2 linked regions of the Medicago truncatula genome follow. The protein of the gene in region 2 interacts with the protein of the main gene of each other region in a biochemical or structural test. Links are inferred from orthologs where the notes say so. Each region holds a gene or a part of one and is shown on either strand. Other genes may lie near its edges. The genes, in order: protein PIR and protein NAP1.

Region 1 (12,619 bases), on a different chromosome or scaffold from region 2:
TATTCTTGTGCTTCACGAGGTGGAAGCTCGTGAGGTGCTGCAAGGGTGAGAAGGCGAGTTTGGGAAGAAAATTTTGGGAAATATGTTGATAGTTCCTTCATTATCGCAGCTGGAGAGAGATGCAAATCTGGAAAAGCAGGAATAACTGCTTCGTTCTGTATAAGATAAACAGATCTCAATTTCCAGTCAACAAAGAAGAATTCAGTGCATGAAATGTAAAGTTCTTCAGGTAATTCAATAGCACCATCTTTTCTTAACCCAGTAGATATAAATTATAATTTATCATTAAGCATATATATAACAGTACCTTAAATATATTGATCAGTCTGTTGATTTTTACCCTCTTGTACAGAGACTCGCTGTCTTTTTCTGAAGATGTCACTAGGACAACAAGAACAGGCAAAACACGCAAAAGAATGTGGCGCTCCGGAAAGAGAAGTGCAAAGTCCAATTCCAAGGACTCTACAGCAAATACTATAAGAACTTGAAGAATGTCTTCTACACTAATTCAAGTCAAGGAATTGAATAAGAAATAGAAGAGGGGGTATACAAAAATTAAAGTTAAAAATGGTGATACACATACAAGTAAAAATTGAGTCGGTGTGATAAAACAACAAGATTATTTGCACAGACAGTATTCAAAGACAAAACCCAAGAAGTAAAATTTAGATTAAAAATTATTCTAATCAGCTAGATTTCCTCCAACTTGGTTTAGATTGAAAACATGAATAGATCAGTTTCTTCATTTCCTAGCTCTGAGTGTCGAACCAACTCCGCTTGTTTCTTTTGAATGAAAGTATATATGCATTAAGGAGAAAGTCCGTTGATATCCTACACTCTTTCTCAAAACTAAAATTTCAACATAAACTAGCACTCAAATCTTCTTCCCAATAGACCATTTTATCTGTCAGATGGAATCAGTTCCCACGATCATCCTAAGCAAAGATAACTTCTATCCAAGAAGAAATAATAAATAAAGAAACAATTACAATTAAACCAGAAAAGTGGAAATGATGGTAGCCATGTGGATTGTGGAAAGGGAAAAAATGTGAAGTAGATATACAGGATACTTATTTACACGGAACATCTCAACATGCAAATTCAACAAAATAGCCCATCTAGTGCTCAAGAAAATCTGCACATGCAATGATAAAGAAAGGTCAATAATCCATTTTTGCCAGGATTTTCAATCAAAATAAAATGTAAATGAAGATTATGGAAAATCAAACAATAAATAATAAATGTACATATTTCTGAATTTCAAACACTGGGAAATTTCAATGATTATGCACCTGTAAATCGTCTAATTCCTCCCTCATTGAATCAGTATCTTGCCACTGACCACTAACTTGTGTGAAAGTCCTGACAAAGTGGGGAGAAGCAACATGAATGCATGAGAAACTTCATTAAGTAAATGAGAAAATTTAAAATATTCAAAATTTATGTCTTCCTTATTTTCAATCTCTCAAACCAGACACAGAACTAATTTTTTATCATACAGAGAAAAACTGAAAGAAACTGAATTTAACAAAACAGTGTAACAAAGTTTATGTCTTCCTTATTTTCATTCTCTCAAACCAAACACAGAATTAATCTATCATCTTAAAGTACAAAGAAAACTGACAGAAACTGAATTTAACAAAACAGTGTAACTTTACTGGAGAATATGGATGCCTAATACTTTTTATATTGTATGTCAAACTAAAGTAGCTAGGAATGTCATGCAACCCTCATGCACTCTTGGTCATGCAGTTTTATAAGAAGGTGATATTATCAACTGTATGCCCATTTAGTTTCTTCAATGACATTTTGGTCACCACATACATAGTACCCAATCAGACACTTTCGTCTGAAAATCTCGTAGTCAACACTAGCTTGTTATTCCTATAGTATATAATATTTAACATTTTAGGTGAGGCAAAAAGTTAGATCCCTAAAGTGCCTCAATTTGAAGTAGGTGTTCCAATCAACAAAGCATTGGATCGAATGTACTACAGAAGTTACATTCAGGAACAACATTGATAAATGGAGAAAATCTCTGCTCATTAATTTACATGTTAAACAACAGACTCCTAAAAGCGGCATTAATATAAAAGGATTCAAAGAAGGAACAAAAGAAAGACATAACAAACAGAACCTGAAAGTAAAGTTGAAGATCCGCTACATGAAGATAAAGTAACATAGGCAGAAACTAAATGCATACCTTTTGTACCATGAAAAGTCATTAGGTATGCTTGCCTTGGCATTTTTAAGATGGTCAAGTTGCACCAGAACATCAAACAACTTCAACATAGACCTAGAGTCAAGAATAAAGCTATTAAATAAATAAATAAATAAAAGTGACAAAAACAACAAAATAAGCATTATAACACACCAAAGATGAGATATTGTAGGCCCATTAATGCGCCGCTCAGGCCTAGAAAAACGTTGCATGTCAGTCGCTAACTGCATAAAAAAAAGACATGAATGAATTTACTTAACATGCTAAATGTCTGAATCAAATTAAGTTTCTGAAAAATAAAAAAGAGGATCATACAATATGTAAAACACAACCCGTACTTTTGAGGAAGCCGATGCTTGCCATCGCTGAATTTCACGCAAACGACTCATTTCCAAATCCAGAACTTGGTATGTTTCCAAATATAAGTCAGCTTGGCTTTGCTTCATAGAATCAGGAAGCTGTCCCATTGTGGCAAAATGCACAAGTTATAGGAGAATCTATAAACATATGGAAACATGAAATGGATTTCTTTTTTTTTAAGGGAATGAAAATGTATTTCTGATAGGGTCATTTTAATATTATCAAATATATCAATAGACCAAAAATTTATTTTGAAAATGAATGCATGCAAGATATCATGTTGCATACTTGCATTAAGCAAAGCTATCATTTACTTATGAAGCTTCAACTACTTGATTTCATTCACTATCCCAAAAATATAGGTTTGACATTAGAACTCTGTGCATGGACTATCCAACAAATTTGCCTTTTCAAAATGCAAAGTAGACATTTCATGTGAAACTGGCATACAATCGCGGTAACTTCAGATTTAGTGCCAGGAAAATTCAAATATAATCGGCCAAATTACACTAGAAGTCCTTTAAGTTTTCGGTTTGTAACACATTGGTCCTTTTAGTTATTTTAATTTCATATTCTTCCTTTAACTCTTCAACAATTTGCACTCTTATCCTTGTGGTGGTTAGTTGATGATATGGCAAGTACACATCACTAGAAAAAGTAATTTTTTATTCAAATCCAGCAAACTCATCCATCTTCATCCTCTTCCTTTCATCTTCTTCATAATCTTCATCTTCTTCCTTCCATTTTCATCATCAAACCCAGAAAATTATAATCTCCATATTAAAAAAATATAAAAATTCAACTTCTCTCTTCATTTATTATGTTTACAATCCATAATAAATTACTTTTCTGCTGATGGGTACTTGCCATGTCATCAATTAACAACACAAGAATAATAGTGCAAATGGTTGAAGAGTTAAAGGATGAATATGAAACTAAAATAACTAAAAGGACCAATGTGTTACAAACCACAACTTAAAAGGACTGCTAGTGTAATTTGGCCAATATAATATGTACTTCATGTCTAAAAGTAACCCTTTCCCTTCTGAAAATATTTCCTCATTAACCAGTAAAACAGCATATTTTATGTCCATTGACTGGCTTTAACTACCGATAGATGATAGAAATATTACCTGAGGAAGTGCTTTGACACAACTACGATATGTGTAAAGCACCGATGCCATCTCCTTTCCCTCTTGGGTAAGAGAACTCTGCATTTTGTATAGCAAAAGCAGTCAAAATTTTCATCAGACGGGTTAAACAACAAAAATATCCCAAGAGCAAGCATCATACCAGCTGATTGAGAGCTTTCGTATCCTCTGACAGAGATAGTCTGTATGCCGCAACATCACAATATTCTACACAAAAAAAAAAAAGACGGCATTAGATAGCAATTACCAATAACTCTGCATCTTTCAAGCAAAACTCAAAAGACTCCGACATTATTTTCAAGTAAATTTACAGCGCAATCTCAAATTAGCGGCATATCTGGAGAATAATAGTTGAACTATGGAATAGGAAGTTACCTATTGGACTCTCTGTTGCACCTCTCTCAGTTGATACCCACACTCCAGGTCCTTGCACCTCTGGTTGCTCATCCTACATAATTAATGAACAAAATACAAATCACATGAAAAATTACCTTGCATATACCGAAATAAGAACTTCAAGTTCCTGCAATGCGTTATTTTGCAAATACAGACTGTTTGGATACACAACTTATTTTGCAGCTTACAGCATAAGTGCTTATCATATAAGCGCTTATGTATCAGCTAGTTTTGTAATAAAACATGAAATAAAGTCAAAATGTTTTAGTATAACCTTTAAGCTATTTTCATGATCTATCATGGAGAGCTTATGAAAATAGATTATGAAAATTTCATAACTTATTTTCATAAGTTCTTCCAAACAGTCTCATAAGTGCTTATGCCAATACGCAATCCTAAGTGATTATTAGATTACTAAACATTTCTATGATTAGAATTAACGCAAATTAAGGAAATAGATTATGAGAATAAGCTAAACCTTTTAAGCTGTTCTTATAATCTATCCTGGAGAGCTTATGAGTATAAGCTGAAAATAGTTTATGAAAATGTCATAACTTATTTTCGTAAGTTCTTCCAAACAGTCTCATAAATGCTTATGTCAATACTGAATCAAATGTTCTTTCAAATCTATGAATTTACACTTAATAATAATAATTAGATTACTAAACATTTCCATAATTAGAATTAACGCGAATTTAGGGAATAATTGACCGAATCAGACCAAACCGTTGCAAAGAAAAAGGAACGATCCAAAAGCGCATTTGAAATTTGGTAGCAAATGAAATGAGAAAAATGTAGCAGAAATTGGATACCTCGAGCGAGAATGTGGAGAGAGCTGCAATGGCTTCTTCAACGGGAACTGCCATAACAGAATCTTCTAGAAATATTGAAGGAAAACGAAAGTGCGAAGCATAGAAAGAAGAAGAAGAAAAAGATCAACTACAATTGCTTTGTTTCTCTCTCTCCACTTTCCCTCTCTAGTTGGTAGAGTCTTCATTTGCAAGATTGAGCAGGTACAACTTCTGTGTTGACTATAATGCCCTCCTTCTTTGCTCTATTTTCCATTTCTGCTACTTACTATGAGGGAAGGTGGTGATTTTAAAATTTCTTTTGTATTAAGCTAATCTTCCCTGATTTGCTTTGAACCTAAGCTAAAATAATTAGTACATGATGATGATTCTAAAATAACAAAGTTTTCAAGAAAATAAATATTAGTACATGATTTACATCCTTACTTTTACCGTACAAAAATTTTTATGAATATTCTTCGCTCTTTGTTTGAGTGTTCATTTATTTTGCAAAAGCAAAAATTATTCATGAATATTTTTTAAGATATCATTTTTTTTTTTTGAAAGAAAATATATCATTGTTTTTATCACGTGCAAAAGTCATTTACAAATTCGAGTCTACCAAGATATATTAAAAAAAAAAGAAATTGAGTCTACCAAGATGTTCTTCTCAAGATTTTCAAAGGTTAAATATTTTTCATTAAAACAAGCTCAAAATGCATTATAAAAATGTGATTCTAGTTTCTTTCTTCAACTAGATTTTTTTTCAAAGATAAAATAACAATATTGCTCAATTATACCAATTACCTAAAAAAAAATATTATTTAAGTGTTTTTAAAGATACTCTAAAATTCTTTGCTAAATTAAGTAAGATTTTGTCTTCAACCTATACTTGAATATTTATTTTTTCGTTCTACAACTAGTTACAATAAAGTCTGTTGTTTATTAGCAACACAAAATTGATTGTCCATCCCAATCTAGAGCAACTGCATATGAGTGTTGATGTAGATCTTAAAGGTGTTCTTGAATGTGATGACAAGGATAATAGCATGGTGTTTCTTTTCTATGATAACTCTAACGAGTTTTGATCTTCGTTCTTGGAATGTCAAATTTTATATACGCTAAAGAAAGGTGTTCGTTTGAAGGAAAATCATTGGAGATTTTTTTTACTTGTAATAGGAGTTTAAAATTTGACATGCTTGTGTTTCTCAATGTAACTGTTCATTTTATCTTAGATTATTTATTTTTCTTTCTTTGAAATGACAATCCTTATTTTAGACCTTATATTATGATATTAAATTTTGATGAAATAACAACAAAATCGAGCATGCCTAAAAAAGTTAGAAGAGATTCTCATGATATCAGTTGTAACATGCAAATTATTAGATGGGAAAAGTCGCGAGTTCAACTTAATCTTTTTGTGTGGTTAGATTTAGGAGCGTGTGTTCAATATGGGTTTTGACCAAGTGTGAACCAAGTTTGTGGAAAAGAAGGGTTGTGAAAGTAAGGGTGAAAACAATGAGTGTGATAAAAAGTGTCTCGAACGATGATCTTTTTAGTGTTTTCCACAAAAATTAAGGCTTATGGTTTTGGCTTGAGTTTGACTAAATTGAAAAGCATGAACGTAATCTCGATATGTAAATCCATGTCAACGTATTTCCTCAATGCTCATGTACTTTCAATTAGAAAGGCTCAAGTCATGGTTATAAGTCTTCCCTTTTGCAGAAACACAAAAGATAGTCATTCAAAACACTAAAGCTCATAGAAGCTGAATCTTTTTCCGTCATACATATTGGTGGTTCCACCCTTACTTTCACAATTTTTTTCACAAACTTGAACCATACTTGGTCAAAACTCATATGGTAAGCACATATTTCTCAATATCATCCAACAAATAGATTGAGTACCTGTTTGGCATAGCGTTTTCCCATCTCAAACGGCGGTTTAAAAGCTGAAACGTGGTTTCAACATTTTCTTAGGTGTTTGGATAACTGCAAACGGGATTCTACCAAACGTGGTTCTAGCCCCCAACGCCCGTTTATGAAAAGCTAGAAAATGAAGCTTTTGCGGCAACTCAACGCCAGTTTGGAATTTAATTTATGGTGACAAATTGGAAATTCCCTAATTACCCATGACTTGTTTTCTATTACCGTGTTCCTTTCAACAGCACAAGCCACATTGATATTGTTTAATTTCTCAATTTCTCAATTGTAAGGACAAATAAGATTTTCGTTTCATTACAGTGATGATTTATACAGATTTTTTTTTCTACATTTCAGACCAATGAATATTCTTTAGTTGCTCAGCATTCTTGAACCTCTCGTTTTTCTTACTCGGTGCTTTTATGGAGTTTGATTCTTTTATTTGATTTGAGAAGACAATGGATAGTGGGCTAATGGATAAAGACTCAATCCTTTTTATTTACTTTTTCATAAAAATGTCAATTTTAAAACAAAAGAGTTGAAACTTATTAATGAGTTTTCTTAGGGAATTTATTAGTTATAATAATAATAATTACAACCCATTTTAGTAATATTTTAAAATTAATTTTAAATTGTTACCTAAAATGGTAAATATATATTAATTATAACTCTTATAATTATTTTAAAATTGAATTTTTGAAACAATAATAATCCAGTTATGACAATTAAAATTTAAAAGGGTGCTTTAAAAAAAATCAATTACAAGGATAACTAGGTCATTACACATTCAAAATCAATTTTGATTCAAACTATCCAAACAACATCAACTTATAAAAATCACTTTTAAACAAGTTTATCCAAACATAATCAATTCTCCTCAAACCCACTTTTAACAAAAATCAATTCTCTCAAACTCAATTCTATCAAAATTAATTTTCGCAACCGCCATACCAAACACACCGAGTTGAACCAGTGACTTTTTCCCATTTGAAAATTCTCATGTTACAACTAATATCATGACAATCTCTTTTAACTTATTTAGAAACTCTCGATATTGTTTTATTTCATTCTCAAATTAAATGTCATTATATAAGGCAAACAATAAAGATTATATTTTCTTAAATAAATGTGTGTGAGAGAGAGGAGTATAGTCGTAAGATCTTTGAACTTTTTGAACTTTGAACATTTATAGTTATATAATAACAATGATTTTATTGACGAGGTTGTGACCGATATAAATCAAGAAACTTAAAGTAGCAAATCTTTTTATTCAATTGTCATATAATTCTTTAATTTGGAAACTTGGAACTATCGACGTATTTCTTTTACTTCTAAATTTGAAAAATAGTTTGAAAATGATTTTTGAATAGCATTTTATTGAAATAATATGTCAATATCTTTTTTTAAGGGAAATATGTCAATATCTTATCAATTGATATTCTATATTTTATTCACCGATCTTAAGTTAACTTTAAGCATAATGCACTAGAAATTCTATAAAAGAAACAAATGAGATTTTTTTTACCTCTCTAAGAACACATTTCCCTTTTTACATTTTACCTCATTGCTACAATTAAAAGGATTTGATTTGATTTTACTACATTTAATTTGGAAAATGAGGAAAAATGCTAAAGGGCAAATGGTTTCTCGTTTCTCACATCACATCTAACAAAATATCATACTCCCTCCGTATTTAAATATAAGCAAATTTTACTTTTTAGATTCATTCATTTAATGATATATGTTGTCCATATTATGAACCACATACATCATTAAATAAATGAACATAAAAAATCAATTTTGCTTATATTAAAAAACAGAGGGAGTATCATTATAAATTAATAGAAGGTAACCGAATCTCACTTTAAGTCGTACTAAAAATTTATAGTCTTAAAGTTGAATAGACTTAAAGTTGATTTATGAGTCGGTGAATAACATATAGAAACATTATAAATTAAATGGTGATTTTTAGCATTATAAAGTGGTATTTTCTCTTCAAAATTATAATTGGGAAACAAATCACCATTTTTGGGTCAGAAATCACCATCTTAGGAGTAAAAATTATAATTTGGGACCAAAATTGTAACAAATGTGATATTTAGGGAAAAAAAAAAGGTGAATTCTAAGGTGATGGCTCTATCAAATCCCTCACCGATGCATCACTATAAACAACAATTAAGATCATTAGATTAATCAAGTCCACATATCCTATTCTACATTACATATATTAGATTATCCCTCTATATATTTACCACCCAGCCTCTTCATGCTCCTTTTCTATTCTCACACTGAAACCACCCATGGGAATATCCATGAACAACAAGGTCCATTGTTTTTGTTTATTTTTCTTGCAAATATTTATTTGATTTTCTCTTTTAATTGATTATCTTAATTTTGAAGAATTATGATTCATAACACAGTTATCACACCATTTTATCAAATTTGCTTAAGATAATTTCATGTCTAAGCACTCTTTCTAGGGCCATTTTCAATCTTCGTTGTTTTTTATTTTGGTTTACTAGTTTCTTTTCTTCATGAAACGGGAAGTTTTAAATTTTTACAAGCAACACAATTCTTAGGGGGTATATTGGATTAGGATTTTAAAAGACTATTTTAATAAAAAAAATCTTCAAGATTTTAAAATATTGTGTGAGATTGTATTGATTCTGTGAGATTTTAAAAGACTTTTTATGTAAAAGACTTCATACACTCAAGATTTTAAATGATTTATCACACTGACTTTCAAGGATTTTATGGAATTTTAAAATTTCAAAGAATTCAATGAATTTTTGGGAAAAAAAAGAACAAACTTGCAAGCGTGAATGATAAAAATAATGAATAATTAAATTCTAGCGTTTGAATAAAGAAAAATAAAATCAATAAAAAATTCTTTTACTATTAAAATTTTAAGAATTTTATAAGATTTTAAGGGATTAAAAAACACTCTAACACATTATTCTCAATACACATTTTTTATTTGTTAAAAATGTTATTCCCACAAAATTCAATTGTACATATTTAAAATTATGCCAGCACTTACAAATCTTTCAGAAATATATATTGTGTCAGCCCTTACAAATCGGTCGAGTTTACACGAATTTATCGAGTGTTAACTCAGTCAAACTCGTCAAACCTTCTAATTTTACCAGAAACTGAGTTTACCTCAGAGTTAACACGATTTTGGTACCTAAAAACGTAAACTCGGTAATATTCTCAATACAATTTTTTAATTTTTTATGAGAAAGAGAGAGGGAGAGAGGGGGGATGAGAGAGAGAGAGAGAGAGAGAGAGAGAGAGAGAGAGAAATGAGAGAATGGGAAGGGGGAGGGGAGAAACAGAGACAGAAGGGAGAAGAAAGAGATAATAAATTTTAAAAGAAAAACAATATCATCTTATAGGATTTTTTTTGTTATGCGGACTAATGGGTTACCTGCGGCCCGTTCGGGCTATCCCAAACGGGTACCGGGCTAAAAAGCCCTATTAAAATTCGGGCTCAATATTTTAGGCCCAAGCCCTATATTTATTCGGGCTAAACGAGTCTGCCCATACGGCCCGGCCCGTTTTGACAGCTCTAGTCTTTACTATAAATCATTAAATCATATACATCATTTGATGAATCAAATATAAATCTAAAATGTCAATTTTTATTTATAATAGTGACCGAAGGAGTATGGGTCCCACACAAGTTTCTTTCTCCCCCAAACTGAGAAGAAACCCAAGAGAGCACTAATATCCTATTGTTTTCCTATTATACCCTTCTGTCAATTTAGTTAATTTTGTTTGTGACATTTTAGTTTTTTTTTCCATCGTTAACTTTAATCTGAAAGTGAGTTTTAAAAAAATGCAGTGTTAGTTTTTTTTTGTTATGTAATCGTAACCTTTTTCTTTTTTATACTATCATATTTTATAGACCGTATTTTGCTATTTTGGAAATTATGTCCATACTGATTTATAATTTTTTTTAGGGTATTGTTAACGAGTGCTCCGATGACACTTTTTAAGGAGGATTCCAAAAGAAGAAATTATTTTATAAAAAAGTCAAATATTTTGATTTTCGATGCATTGATTACACATATTTTTATGATAAATTACTATTTAAAAGCATTAACTAGTGCCCCTGTCAACATTTCTTTTTTTTTTTTTTTATATATATTTCATTGTTTACTTTTTTTCTTTTTAATCAGGTAGCTTAGTGGCAGGTGAATAAGTGGGATGATTGGGGTTCGAACCTCAGCCCATGCATAAAATAATGCATTGTCCTCATTATTTTATATGTTTCAAACATATTTGATCATTTTTATTCCGTAATATTAATTTTTAATATATCTTATGTCATATTTTAAATCAAACTTATTATTTTACTGTAAATTTATGATATTAATAAAAAATATAATTTGAACATTTAAAATTCAATCCAATTAAACTACATTAAATTTGATCGTATTGGATTAGACTTTTAAAATAGTCCTCCAAAACTTAACTTTTAATCGAATGAGTTTTCGTTTTAAAATCAATCTAAAGTATGAAGCCCATATACTCTAAAATGGAGACGCACCCGTATCGGATATCGATAATCCACGGATACTCTCGGATACGTACCTACGAAATATCGGAATTAATTATTTTAATTTAAAATATATATTTTATCGGATACTTATAAGATACTCGACAGATACACACAAATACTTATAAGATACTTCACAGAGACGTATCCTGGAAAAAAATGAAGCTTAAATAAATGAGACTGTGTTCTGAAAATTTAATGGAGATGTATATGATTCAATTTAAGATATGAATCACTATAATTATTTTTCGATAACCAATTAAAAATTATGTTTTTGGTGGATGAAAATAACGAGAGAGAGGAGCTAACCTAACATATGAACGAAAATATAATATGATTTATACGAAAACTTTACATTTTTTATTTTGATCACATATATTATTTTTTGTAAATTGTGAATTTTATGATTATATAGTATTGAAGATTAATCAATGTTTTTTTAAGTATTTTACATGCATATAAATTTTAGTATAAATATTTTGTTAATGTATCTTAGCCGTATCGTTTCCGAATTTTAAAATTTTCGCGTATCTACGTACCCGTATCGTATCGTACCTGTATCCGTACTACGTATCCGGACTTCATAGATCTAAACTATGTTGCAAAAACCTTTAATACATATGATCTAAGTATGTGACAAGTGGTGCCCAAGGGTGTGTTGACTACTACATTTTTCACTATAATCTTCTTAACGAGGGCACTTGTTATCTCTTCCTTTTAATTAGTATAATTGATGTAAGTTTTTGACATTAAGTCTGCTGGTTGCTTGTTTGTTTGTTTGGCGGTAGAAACAGCCAAAGCTGCATTTCCGTGAGTTTGGACTCATTCCTCACCCGAGTCGGGTCGGGTCGGGTCAACCATGTTTTTTCCTCTTTAAAACCACGTTCCTTATTTTTTGTTCTCATTATTTATTTACCTTACCCTTCCTATTTAATTTTTCTGTTCTTACTTCTTACACACACACACACATATTAACGCTACGCGTTATCTACCTGATTCGACACACACAACACATACGGAGATTCAAAAAGTGTTGTGTTATTGTTTGTTTGTCTGTTAGTGATTTAATTAGAATTAGAGAATTAATTGAGAGTCAAAAGAGAGAAAAAAGAATGAACGGTGAGTGAGTGAGTGAACGAGTGTTGAAGCAAGCAATGCAGCAGCATTCGGTTATGGCGGAATCGAAAGAATTGAAAGAACGGTTATGGAAACTTGTT
Region 2 (12,456 bases):
CTTCTTTCGAGATGCTTAGTTGAATCTTGATATATCATATAGTGTTAAATGTTAAAACCGGTTCTTCCAAAAGCTTCAGTTGTTATGTCTCATAAATTCATGAGCCCACTTTATCATGTATTAAAAATTAATTTAATTTATTGCAATTATAAAGACTGAAGGGACAGTGGCCACTTAGTCATAAAGGCTTTGATACGATGTTAATAACCAAGTATCCTAAAGCTTATGTTGTTAGTTGGAGTTACAGGAATGCTTTTATATGTATCAGAGACTAAAAGTTTCTAGTTAACTATTTGTAAGCAACAGAGCATTCCTGCATAGATGGTTGTACTCCAACCAATCACACAATCCATGACAAACAAAAAAATACTCAGTTCTGTTCCAAAGCGAATGAAGTAATATAACTTGATTATTCAATATTTAGTATTTTCCTGAGCAAAGACACAGAAGTATCACAGATTCAAATATTGTGTAAGCACGTGATAGGGAAAACTTTTCCATAAAAAGTTTTCCCTATCACGTGCTTACACAATATTTAACACCAACAAATGTAACTCGGAAAAAGTAGACAGGAAAGTGAGAATAAGTTAAATTTTATCATGACAAGACAGAATTTGGAATAAAAATAATTAGTTATATGACTAGAAAATCTACTCAATTTCTTTATCATATGAACTTTGCAATTATTTATATCATACCGACACATAAAAGAATGTGACTAACCTCTCCAATACGAGGGCTCACAAAATTAAGGTCTTCCTGTAAGCCTTTTAGTGGTGGATCATAAGAATCGATGAACTGAACCAAGCTGTAAAGTAGAGAAAAACATAAAAGGATTGAAATGATGAATATTTGTTTTTACCAAAAAAAATATGACTAGTAAGGAGGAAAATTATCATAAAGAATCTCTCATTGACGCTGGCATAAAATCTATTTTTCGTCATCTTTATCATTTTCATTTCTCATCCATTAGTTCAAAATTCAACTGCTCAACGATCTCATCCCTCCAGGCTCCATCTGTTTTTGCCATAAACTAATATAAATAGCACCTAAGATTTTGTATGAAATTGTCATATACTATATTTTCATACCTGAATTAATAGATATCTAAAACTATAACCCTGATTCTCTCATTCCAACATCAATTTTCCCTCCTCCTAACCATGTTTCTGTAGAGAAGTTGTTATCTATCTACTTTCTCCACATTAAGCACTTCAACTAATATATTGCTGCAATTGAACATCTATTCAAGAAAGAAATTTGAGCCAGCTCTCTACCGATGACATTCTACAGAGGTTAAAGTACATTTTGTTGACTTATTATTTAGTGTAGATTGTATCTGTTTATCATAGCTTACCAAAACCCAGGTTTCTCTCTATATCAAGTCGTTCTTATATGCTCTGTCACTCATGTTTTGTACGCTCATACCTTGTTATGTTCAAGAGTTAATAAATATTCCCCAAACTCTGTTGAAATTTGAGGATTGCCTTCCGATGTGGGTATAAATCCACCCCCTCAAAGCCAACACAAGGCAACCCAAATCCACCCCCTCACAGCCAACACAAGGCTTAGGGGTGGACCGCAGTTAAGGCGGAATTTCCAACACTCTTCCCCTTGTTTTAAAATGCTTCCAGACAAAGAGAGATTTTATCATAACCTTTTCCCTTTCCTCTCTTACCCTCCCACCAAAACAATTACTGATAGTAAATTAGAATCTCTATCTGTCTCTCACCCATCCTCTTCCAGGAACATAAGTCCATGTCGGCATAATTGCACAAGCAAAATGCCCCTCAGCATTTTTTGGACGAAAAGAAAAGGAATAATTTTTTCTTTAAAAAACTAGATTATTCAACATGTTATGCCTTTGAGCGTATAAAAGCATACCATAAATTATTGTTTACCAGAAACTGGAACAATTTAAGACAAGTTATTGGAACATCTTACCGATGATAAAAATCGCAATCCCGCTCATTTCTTGACAATGCATGTAGAAGGTTATAGGTCTGTAGCAACATCTTTCTTGGCATCTGCTATGAAAATAATGGTTTCCAAATTACTGCTCATTTATATTTGGTTGAAACAGTTATTTCAATCCGAATTTTATTCATAAAATGAACAAATTTAAGAAAATAAAAGAGGAAGTTAGCTTGCCTTCTCAGAGAAAAGGTTGACCCGTACAAATGAGCAGAAGAGGTCCATAAATGCATGTAGTATAAGAGAATTCTGATGGGGCTGCAAAACACTGTGCCTAGTTATTTGAGATATGCAGAGATAAAGTAATTATTTATTAGTTTATTCAAATGTGAGGACACCCATTAGCTATTTCACTAAAGTAAAGAACTTCAGATGAACGGGCTAAAAAGGGGTAGAGAATTCAATACATCCCATTTCTGATTCAATATTTGACATGGGCCATTCCTTTTTAGAAAGGAAAGAAAAAAACAGTTAAAAGTAAAAGAAAATAATGGATTATTATTAAGAGGAATAAAAACCAACACCAGGTTGACATGTGCTTCATAAAAAATCTAGACATTTTCAATAATAATAGAGACGACACCTTTGTAGTTCAGAAACATTCAGAAGATTTGAATCATTTTTCAAGAAAATTTGATGTGACTCCCACTTCTCTGCCTCATTAGGGCAGATGTTTGTCAGTGATGAAAAGCCACTGAACCTTTGGCTTGAGTGGAGAAAGAGAAATGGGTTCATATCATATAGTGGTATGTATATGTACAATTACAAACCAGTTCCCAAGATCCTTGTAACATCAAAGCAACTCACATCATAGGAGAGCAACAATATTGAGACTCACCAACAAGGTAATTACTGTACTACTTAGATCCAATATAAGTCGCAGTGCTTGTTCGCGAAACACCATCAAGTCAAGAAGTAGCTGTTAAACACAAAAGAATAATTATCATGTGAGTTCAGGCAACATGCAGCTGAATTGAAAATCTAAAAGATATGCATAAATGGGCAATTTTAGGTGACATAAAATGATATCAATGGAGATCATCTATTGATCAAGGTCGTAAATTACAAAGATAATCAAACCTATAGTCAATCTCGTTAAGATCAATGGTCAACCAAAGCCGATAGAGGAGAAGCATACAATACAATTTTTTTTAAAGTTACATTTAACTGATGACACATGCAAAGCAATGAAACCAAACTTTCATAAGTCAACTGTTGTTTTCTTCATGAATGACTAAGTAAATTGTGTTGGTACATAAAGCATGGAGTTACAAATCATTGCTTGCAGTACAAGAAACCTTAAAAGTTAGAATTAGGGTATTCTATTCTAAACAGTATTATTTATATTGCATTATTAAGGTGTGATTGTTATATACTGAGCCCGTGCCAATTGTACTAAACTTGTACCTTAGCCTAGATTATCAATTATATAAATAGGGGGATAAGTTCATTGTTTGTATTACACCTGTTCGGACTTCCTTTTGGATTAAAATTACAAAATAACTATTAAAGAAGTAATGGATTAGTACAAAATTAGGATTACTTTACAATCTTCAAATAAAGAACAGGTATAGTTGTTAGCATTTGGCAGTACTTTTGTCTTTTCTATCTTATTATATCATAAACCAACTATCAGAAGGGGGGAAATTATCAGGATAAGTGGTGATGGGTTTTTAGCTGTATCCAAGGGCAGTCTATTTAAAGGCATTGCTTAACAGTGTAATGGTTCAGTTGAGTGAAAAATTCCCCGGGGTTTATATTCTAGGTTTCTATGTCACCTTGTGTTGTATCAGTTTTAAATCTAAACTACAAGTTTTAGTCTTTTGGAATTCAGTGCAAGCTTCAGCCTTCTCTTACACTCTTTCCAATCTTTCCTCCTATGAAAAAAATAAATAAACTAGAATTCAATTTCAACTTTTCATAATTCTATCTACTCATGCAGTAAATTGAGTAAAGAAAGATATTGACATGTAGAGTTTGGGCAGTGTTGATATACCAATCAAGTTAAATAAGGTGTCATGAATCAACTAAACAAAAAGCTTCAATTATTGAGTAAATGCAAATGAATGGTTTTATATCCGAAATGCATTGCCACCCAAATTTTTTCCGAACATTGACTTTTATTAAGAAGAATGTGTCAACCCTTAAAAAAGACAGAATGAGTGCAATAATGTTTGAACTCTATACTGTATGATCATACAGCCTTTGGTACCATGTCATGAACAAACCAACCAAAATCATAAGTTATTAGGGGAAAACACATGAATGATTTTATATCTAACATGAGGGCATGCAGCCAAAATGAAAAAACTGAAAAGCTTCAATTAATTGCTTGGGGTTTAAGAGTAGGAACATATGGAAAATAGTAAGTAAATAAAAGTATAAAAACAGCACCTGCACCCATGGTTCCAAGCTCTGTAAATGAAGTTCTGCATGATCTTGCATCGAATCCCAGGCAATCTTATCTATCTGCATCCATATTTTACCCAAATAATAAAAATCACAGGCACTGTAACGAACATTCAAAACGAAAAGCACATCAGACATGACTTCTTACACGTTCTAGTTGCAACTTGCTGAAGTGTTCAGGAAATTTCTTGGAGAGCAAAACACAGATTCTAGGATGGTTGGGAAACACACCAGCTTTCCAAAATCCATCCGAAAATACATGATTAATGGGGTCCGGATAATCCAATAGCTGATTTAACCTATACATCTTAGCCATAAGACCATCGGCAACATCAGTGAGCTGCACAACCCACTGCATGTTAAGACCCTTATGAGGTTGGGACGGCGTACTACCCTGAGACTGCCCATCATGACCGAAATTCCTGGAGCTGGTTGACGACAATGGAGAAGCCGTATTTGTTTCTGTTCCAAGGTAGTCTGCCCATCTAGATGGACCATCCCATTCCCTTGATCTTGCCGCAGTCGGCGATAATGAAGAATCCTGGTTCGATGATTTTTGCCTCGACTTCGCCATAAACTAATAATAATCCGTCTCTGGCTCTGCACATCAAGTTTTCCAGAAAACAAGTTCAAGACCAATCAATCAGCAACACCAATTTAGCTAACTCCTACCCTCTCTCACATTACAGTACCATTGTTTTCATATAATCAAGGATACCTCCAATTTTATTAGCAAAAATCTAAAATATTGAAACCTAAAATCATTAAGCCTCTTGGGAACTATACAATAATATGAATTACAATTACAAACCTAAAATCTTCAACAAAAATCTACAATAATGTATGCTCACCAAATATACAAAAATGAACGAAGATTGAACATGAGTATGATTTATGAGTAGAAAAGATCTTGTGGAAAGAGAATTATTGAGTTATAAGCATGAATTATGTAATTTATAGGCAAAGCAAATTACTAAAAACGGAAAAATGAAAAAAGTAAAACCTAAATTTCCATTTCTAGGTTGCTGTTAAAGCGGTGAGAAGTTGAGTTTGAGAATTACCAAAAGCAGAAAGTGTAACATCAATAAATAAAGAAAGATACAGATTAAGTAAGTAAAAAGAGCAGAAAAAGTAAAAGCAAAAAGCATTTCGTTGCAGAGAATCAAGATCAAAATCTGAAATTCAAAGTAAAAATTGAAAGAGAGAGAGATTCTACATTTGCACGAGAGAGAGAGAGAGAGAGAGAGAGAGAGAGAGAGATTACAGTGGAGAGAGAAAGATGAAAGTCAGATCTGAAATAGAGTTAGTTGAAAGAAGTATGAATTATAATGTGAAATGTTGCTGCTGATGCTGCAAGTGCGGGATGGAGGAGGGAGCTGCAATTTTCAGCGCAGATATTATTGTTACTGTTGTTAGAGCTTTTTGTGTTTGTAATGATAATGATGGTTTATTCAACTAAAGATAGATTAGCCGTTTTTGTACTTTCACATTTTCAATTTTGTTAGTTGTCACGCCTATTTCTTGTGTTTTACTTCTACACGACGTGCGTCTGTTTCAGCTCACTCCTGTGCTTTTCTGCATTTTTCTACTATATATCTACGCTTTTCTGTATTCTAAAAAATAAACAAATAATAATTTTGTTAAAAAAATCATTATTATTATAATTTTACTCAAAGATAAAAAATAATTATAATAATAGTAGAAGTATCTTATAAGTACCACTTAGCTGATATCCGCATAAACATTTGATATGTTGGAAGAGTTTTGAATCCTCAATTTTTTATTACATCAAACTATTTTTTGGCTAAGGCATTGTGATTAGGATTTTTAACTCTTTTTTGGTGATGGTTAGGGTTTGAACTCTGAACTTTGTATACATTATGCATTGTCCATAGTCCATATCAACTGAGTTAAGCTTACGAGGCATGTTAAAGTATCTCAATGACTTGAGTCTTTGAATTCTTTCCAAAACTAGTCATCAAGTTAGCAACAAGACATAAGACATTTTCTTTTTTCACTTCTCCAAACATAATTATATGTGGGATTTTCGCCAATTTATTTAACCAAAAGATGGTAATAATAATAATAACAACAATAAACAAGGGATTCAAACCCCGGACCCTGCATATATTACGCATTATCCATATCGACTAAGATAAACTTATGAGTACAAATTAAACAGAGCATTATAAGGCTAACATGTCGCATACGGGGATGTACACATATGATGATTAGTTGGTTATAGCAACGCATTCATGTTAGTTACATTTGTTATATTATCTAATTTAAAGTTTGATTGACACGTCATTATCTATACTATATATAAAGAAAACAATTTCTTCCAACATTTTGGGTTGGATTTTTCCTTCCAAAAATATCTTCAATTTTCAAGACAAATAACACATGTAACAAATAGATAATAATAAATTTAAATATTAAAATAAAAGTGAAACAAACACAAATGTATAATTTTTTCCTTTATCATTTAAAAAATGTAACAAACTAGATGAGTGTATATACACTTACTTTTTTATTATCCCAATTATACCGTTGAACATCAACTTTTTTTATAATAAATATTGTTATTGGTGTCATTAAAAAAAAATAAAAATTTAGATCATGATTAATCTGATTTGTTATAATTTAAAAGCAAAAAACATTTATATTGTTACTTTTAATCAAAATTAAAATTTCATAAAAAAAAACACCGTTAATAATTTTCAAACGTTAGCATAATAAAAAAACAAAAAGACGATAAAAAAAATAAATGACAATTTAACTCAATGTATAAAATTGAGAAATTTAAAATATAGAGGGATAAATTATAAAGAAAAATAAAAAATGAAAAAAAATTAAGGGACCAAAATTGTAGGTCGAGCATAACAAGCGGCCAAAAAATTATCCAACAATTTATAGCGCTCCAAGTATTTTAATGAGAACATATCTAAGAATGGATAGAATTAGAATTGTTAATCAAAGAATTAGAGTTAGATTATCTTACATGTGGTATTCCCCCTTTATTGAGAGTTTTTCACCTGATAATGTGATAGAATAATCAGATATGATCACTATTTTTTGTTTGTTGATGGTTTTTTTTTTCTTTGACATAACAATTTTTTAAAAGACAAATAAACAAATATTATAATTTAGTAAACTCGTTTAGATCTTCTGCTTAAAACTAATTTTCAGAGATCAGGTTTTAGATCTTCTGCTTAAAACTCATTTAGTGTTCTTTAATGGTTACATATATAGTTAGTCATTTATTATGATATTTTTTTTTTGGGCTTAAATGGTAATCCACTAAAAATAAACTCACACAATTGTGAGGTCTCGTGTTCGAACCCGGATCACGACGTCCGACCTTGCAATTTTGGTATTTGTCAGTTGATCTATGATTTCTAGACATTATGATACTTTTTTACTATTCATTATTTACGATTTTTTCTTTAAAAAAAACTATTTATGATTTTTCTTAGTAATTTGTTTAAGTTCCAACTATGTTTTGTAAAAAAAACTATGTTAAATCTGATAAGGTATATTTATAAAACATGCTGTATTAATTATGTGTTTATGAGATAGTTATAGTGATATGTCATGTAAGTGTAGTTCAATTGGTAGTTTCATGAATATTAAGCACGTTTTGAACTCTAAATTTTTCATTTCTCTCTATCCTTGTGAGTATAACCACTAAATGATCTGAAAAAAATAGTAGTTGTAACTTGTAACATTGAAGTGATAAACGATGTTGCATGCATGCATACATTTATGTATCCTTTGTGGGCAAAGTGCATACAATAATGCTTTGGTTTCTCAATTCTTAAACACATTAAAAATTTGTCTATTTTAAAGATGAATTTTCATTAAAACAAGCTTGTAATGGATTCTATGACCACACATTTAAGGGACCCCTAATTACTTACATCTCCAATATATACCAATTCATATGCTATACAATTAGGATGCCTAATAAAAGACTATATGATGTTGCATATACGTCAAAAATGCATCCCTCCATACCGACGAGGCCAATGATGGTTAAAAAAGTGATTACTGATTAATAACCACGCCACCGCATCCAGTGGCATTCACTGTACGAGGTATACATATATGGAGTAGAGTATTGGTGGGTCATTGTACTATTTAACTAAAAATATCTAACTAACAAATATACAAATTAACCAACTTTTTGTTTCATTATGCTCATATGTGACTGAATGCTACGGCAATATCTTGATAAGTAGTAAATGCCAAGGTGCAGTTGGTGAGGAACTAAAGCATTTGCAGAACAACAATAATGATGTAGGGTCACAAAACAGTGTATTTTTAACACATATGAATCATTTGGTCCTCCCTAGCTATAGTAAGTGCCTACGGGGAAGATATAGTGGCGATTAGTGTGAATGGAAATATTGATACTTTGAAGCCAAGTGCTGTATCTTTGAAGCATTTCTTTCTCTATTAACATACTTCACTTACACATTAAGCCACCATCATTTCATTTCATATTGTCAAGTTAATTAATAGTGTATATCTTTCTGTTGTTTGCAAGTATATACATCAAATGTTCACTTTTCCAAGTGTGAGTTGGGGTTTTAGAAGTTTAATATATTACCTTCCTTTATATTTTTATATGAAAAAATATTTGTGTGCGCTGATAACTCATTTAAAACTGTAAGAGGGATATAAATAAAGAGGGGAATCACCCCTCTCGTGTGATATGATGGTCCATTGAAATCTTTATCATTCATTGCAAAAGAGAGATAAAGAGATTTTAAAAAAATTAAAGTGAATTTCAAATGTGAAGATCAAGAAATATGAGGAAACATGAAAAGAAAAAATTGAGAGAATCTCTTCCCGTTGAATGACAGTTTGAGAATTATGAACGTACAAATATAAGGATTATTTTTATGTTGAATCCATTTTAGAAAAGTCATTACACTTGTAGATGAAAATAATAAGTTTAGACGTTAGATTAAATTAAACACTATCATATATCCTGTGAAAGTAGATTTTAATCAAATCTTAAGAGTGGATTTCAAATCACACTGTCATTATTACAAATTATTGGTTTGAAAGCATAGAATCAGAAAAATGATTTTACCAAAAGTTATCTTATCTTATTGTGATTAACCAAGACAACTCTGTAAAATAATTTGTTTACATCTCACAGGGTTGCAAAAATAAAATACTTATTTTTTATGGTACTGAATTTTACGAAGGTACTGATATCTTTAAGAATTAATTTTCAATATCAAGACATGCTCACATGCATTCTGTTAGTTCAAGTTTAAAAACCAGTTATTTATGTTTCAAGTGGTATTCATGAATAAAATATTAACCACTTACTGTTTGAAAATATATATAGTAGGGATTGGGAAACCTTCAACAAATAACTGTTTAAAAATATTTCAGTAAAAAGAAAGTTAGTGTTCATAAATAAATATTAAGAACTGACTTTTTACAAAACTTTCCCCCGATAAACAGTTTGGTCGGTAAAAAGAGATAAAAGTTTGTTCAGGTAAAGACTCTTGAATGGAAAAGGAAGGAAGTCAGTGTCTGGACTCTGAAAGCTTCAATACCTACTTGTTTTTATAGTAATATATTACTTGAAACGGTTTAAATTCTCCTTAATTGAACCACTAAAATAAAGAAAGGTAGCAGTTGATCAACCATAGCTAGCACGTAGCACATTACATTCTAACAAATTCAAGACCATAGCTAATTTATAACATAAATACAATTACGAGAGAAGCAAGCAATTATTCACACACAAAAAAGAAGCAATTAACGCATGTTGAAAATTGAAACTATATGCTGTCCTTGGACATATATAAATTGCTACTCATGTTGGGGCGAATGAGCCAGTGTCTCAATCAGAAATAAGATTAATTAACTAAAACGTGTTTCTGAAATGAGTATGTTTTTTTATGTAAAAATGATTAATTAAATAGAGGAGATTAGAAACAGTGGGGCTTGTTAGAGAGACATACGACATCATAAGTAAAGGAAGAAGCAGGTGCTGCTACTCAATTACTCTGCCAAACATTACAGTTTCTATAATCTGGAATAATATACTCTCCTTAACTGGAAAATGAAGACACAAGTCAGCGTAGTAGGAGAGCCTTCTTAAAGTAATATTGTTGCAAGTGTACCTACTCATCCAATAAAATGAAAGTACAGAAAATTGATTAATATTTCAAGACTTACAAGTCATCCAAATGGGCCAGATTAAAATTTTGACAAATCCATCACATGGTTTTGACAAAGCAAAAATTCCAAGTTGTGTGGTGAATTTAACATATTTGTACTTGACTTTTATAAATTTATCATTTAGATTTGATCAATTAGACCATGCATCTAAGAAAAAGATAACTTTTCCTGATTTTGAAGCAGAGTTTAGCAAAGAGTCAAAAATACCTATATAAGCATATGTCATGGCCTCGAGGAAAAGGATAGACCGGTGTGTGTGTAGACCAGCAACCATTGGGAGATGTTAAATCCTTCAATAGATTTCAATACCTCGAGATATTAGCGGCTGGCTTAGACAAAAAAGAGAGCAAATTCCATGACACTGACACACTTAAACATCCAAATTGGAGTTTATTATTGACAATATCAGATATAGGTTCCTAATTGTTCCTATGCTTTGTAATACATGGGTTTCATCATACCCCAAGAGTAAGAAACAGCAACCGTGACTTTTCCATTCGTAAGAGCATTCTTGTTGCTGCCCAAGTACTAATCAACCCAATGGACATTCATTATCAAATAAGTCCTACTCTGTTTTCAAAACTGTAATTGTTTTCTCTATTTTAGGGAGTTATACCAGGGACCAGGGGTACACGTGGCTTGGGTTTTTTTACTTTATCAACCAATATAGCTTGAGTAGTTAGAACCACGCCAGCAATGGAGACTGCACTTTGAAGAGCACATCTTGCAACTCGACTAGGATCTGCTACTCCAGCATTCAAAAGATCTTCATATGTGCCAGTCATGGCATTGTATCCGATTCTCCAGTCAAATGTTCTAGTCTTCTCGACAACAACATCTCCATCAACTCCAGCATTAGCTGCAATTGATTTAGCAGGTTCGACAAGTGCCTGCAATGATTCATGCACAACTGCTTACAGATATGCAAAAGTAGACAAGTTCATAAATAAATACCTTTCACAAAGTTAGTCTCAATCCTACAAGAAAAGGAGGGGAAAATAGCTGAGAAATTTCAAAACATTTTTACCAGAAACTAAAATTAATAAAATTTAAAAATAAATATCCTAACAAATATCTCAGCTCAATAAATGTTGATCATTTCTCTCTCCTAAGGGACAGGGTAATGCTATATGGTAACTCTAAGCAAACTAGAAAGATGCAAACGCGCAGGGTATGAATCATTGAAACTTGAGATAATTCTTCTATGCCAAACTGAATTTATATTCCAGGGTATGAATCAGTTGAATTTCGGATCAAATATCATTTGATGATACAAAAAGCGTGTGCGCACTCAAAGTGTGAATCTATTCTATCTAAGGAACTGAATCATATCAATCAATTAAAGAACAAATAAAATACAATCAACAAGAAGAATAAGGCTTATTCCCTAAAATAGCAAGGGGAGAATACTGCTAAAAGTAAAAACAGAAAAGACTGAACAACTGCAGATGGGTTGAGGAATGACAGATAATCCCCTACTCAAGCGTTAGTATTTTCATTTTGCATTATCATTGCAAATAAATATTCATAAAATCCAAACATATGTTCCAAAGAAATAGCAAAGTAAGATCCATTCAATGAAGTACAGTCAAAATGTAAGAAACCATGGTTAAAATCTTAAATACACACACTGTATAGCTCAAGCATATGTTTTAGAAAAGAGAATGTTCCACCATAAATAAATGAGGTATGATTTGCGAAGCAAATGTTTTTTCTTCAATTAGAATCAAACAATAATTTTTTTTTTTGAAGAAGGAATCAAACAACAATTTAAAAGAGAAAACTCAATGACCTCGCAAAATATGCAAATTTCACAAGTCAAAACTCTCCCAATTTTTTCATGGAAAGAAAAGGCAATATAAT

The links.
Region 1: the proteins of protein NAP1 (region 2) and protein PIR form a complex in vitro, tested with the Arabidopsis thaliana proteins (2 studies listed by BioGRID). The link is inferred for Medicago truncatula from reciprocal best matches to the Arabidopsis thaliana genes GRL and PIR121.

The regions. Positions count from the first base shown.
Region 1 is NC_053048.1:55,154,293-55,166,911, forward strand, and holds the start of protein PIR, read right to left. Parts: upstream 5,178-12,619; 5' UTR 4,995-5,177; coding exon 4,941-4,994; intron 4,181-4,940; coding exon 4,108-4,180; intron 3,940-4,107; coding exon 3,875-3,939; intron 3,793-3,874; coding exon 3,715-3,792; intron 2,680-3,714; coding exon 2,560-2,679; intron 2,446-2,559; coding exon 2,375-2,445; intron 2,297-2,374; coding exon 2,204-2,296; intron 1,363-2,203; coding exon 1,293-1,362; intron 1,136-1,292; coding exon 1,071-1,135; intron 504-1,070; coding exon 308-503; intron 156-307; coding exon 4-155; intron 1-3. Other genes in the region: U-box domain-containing protein 9, read left to right, coding at 12,557-12,619. UniProt on the Arabidopsis thaliana protein: Involved in regulation of actin and microtubule organization. Part of a WAVE complex that activates the ARP2/3 complex. Interacts with the active form of RHO-family GTPases.
Region 2 is NC_053045.1:40,729,529-40,741,984, reverse strand, and holds the start of protein NAP1, read right to left. Parts: upstream 5,930-12,456; 5' UTR 5,648-5,929; intron 4,984-5,647; 5' UTR 4,958-4,983; coding exon 4,532-4,957; intron 4,444-4,531; coding exon 4,369-4,443; intron 2,894-4,368; coding exon 2,813-2,893; intron 2,243-2,812; exon of another isoform or gene 2,233-2,242; coding exon 2,152-2,232; intron 2,028-2,151; coding exon 1,945-2,027; intron 809-1,944; coding exon 724-808; intron 1-723. Other genes in the region: chaperonin 60 subunit alpha 2, chloroplastic, read right to left, coding at 11,196-11,483. UniProt on the Arabidopsis thaliana protein: Involved in regulation of actin and microtubule organization. Part of a WAVE complex that activates the Arp2/3 complex.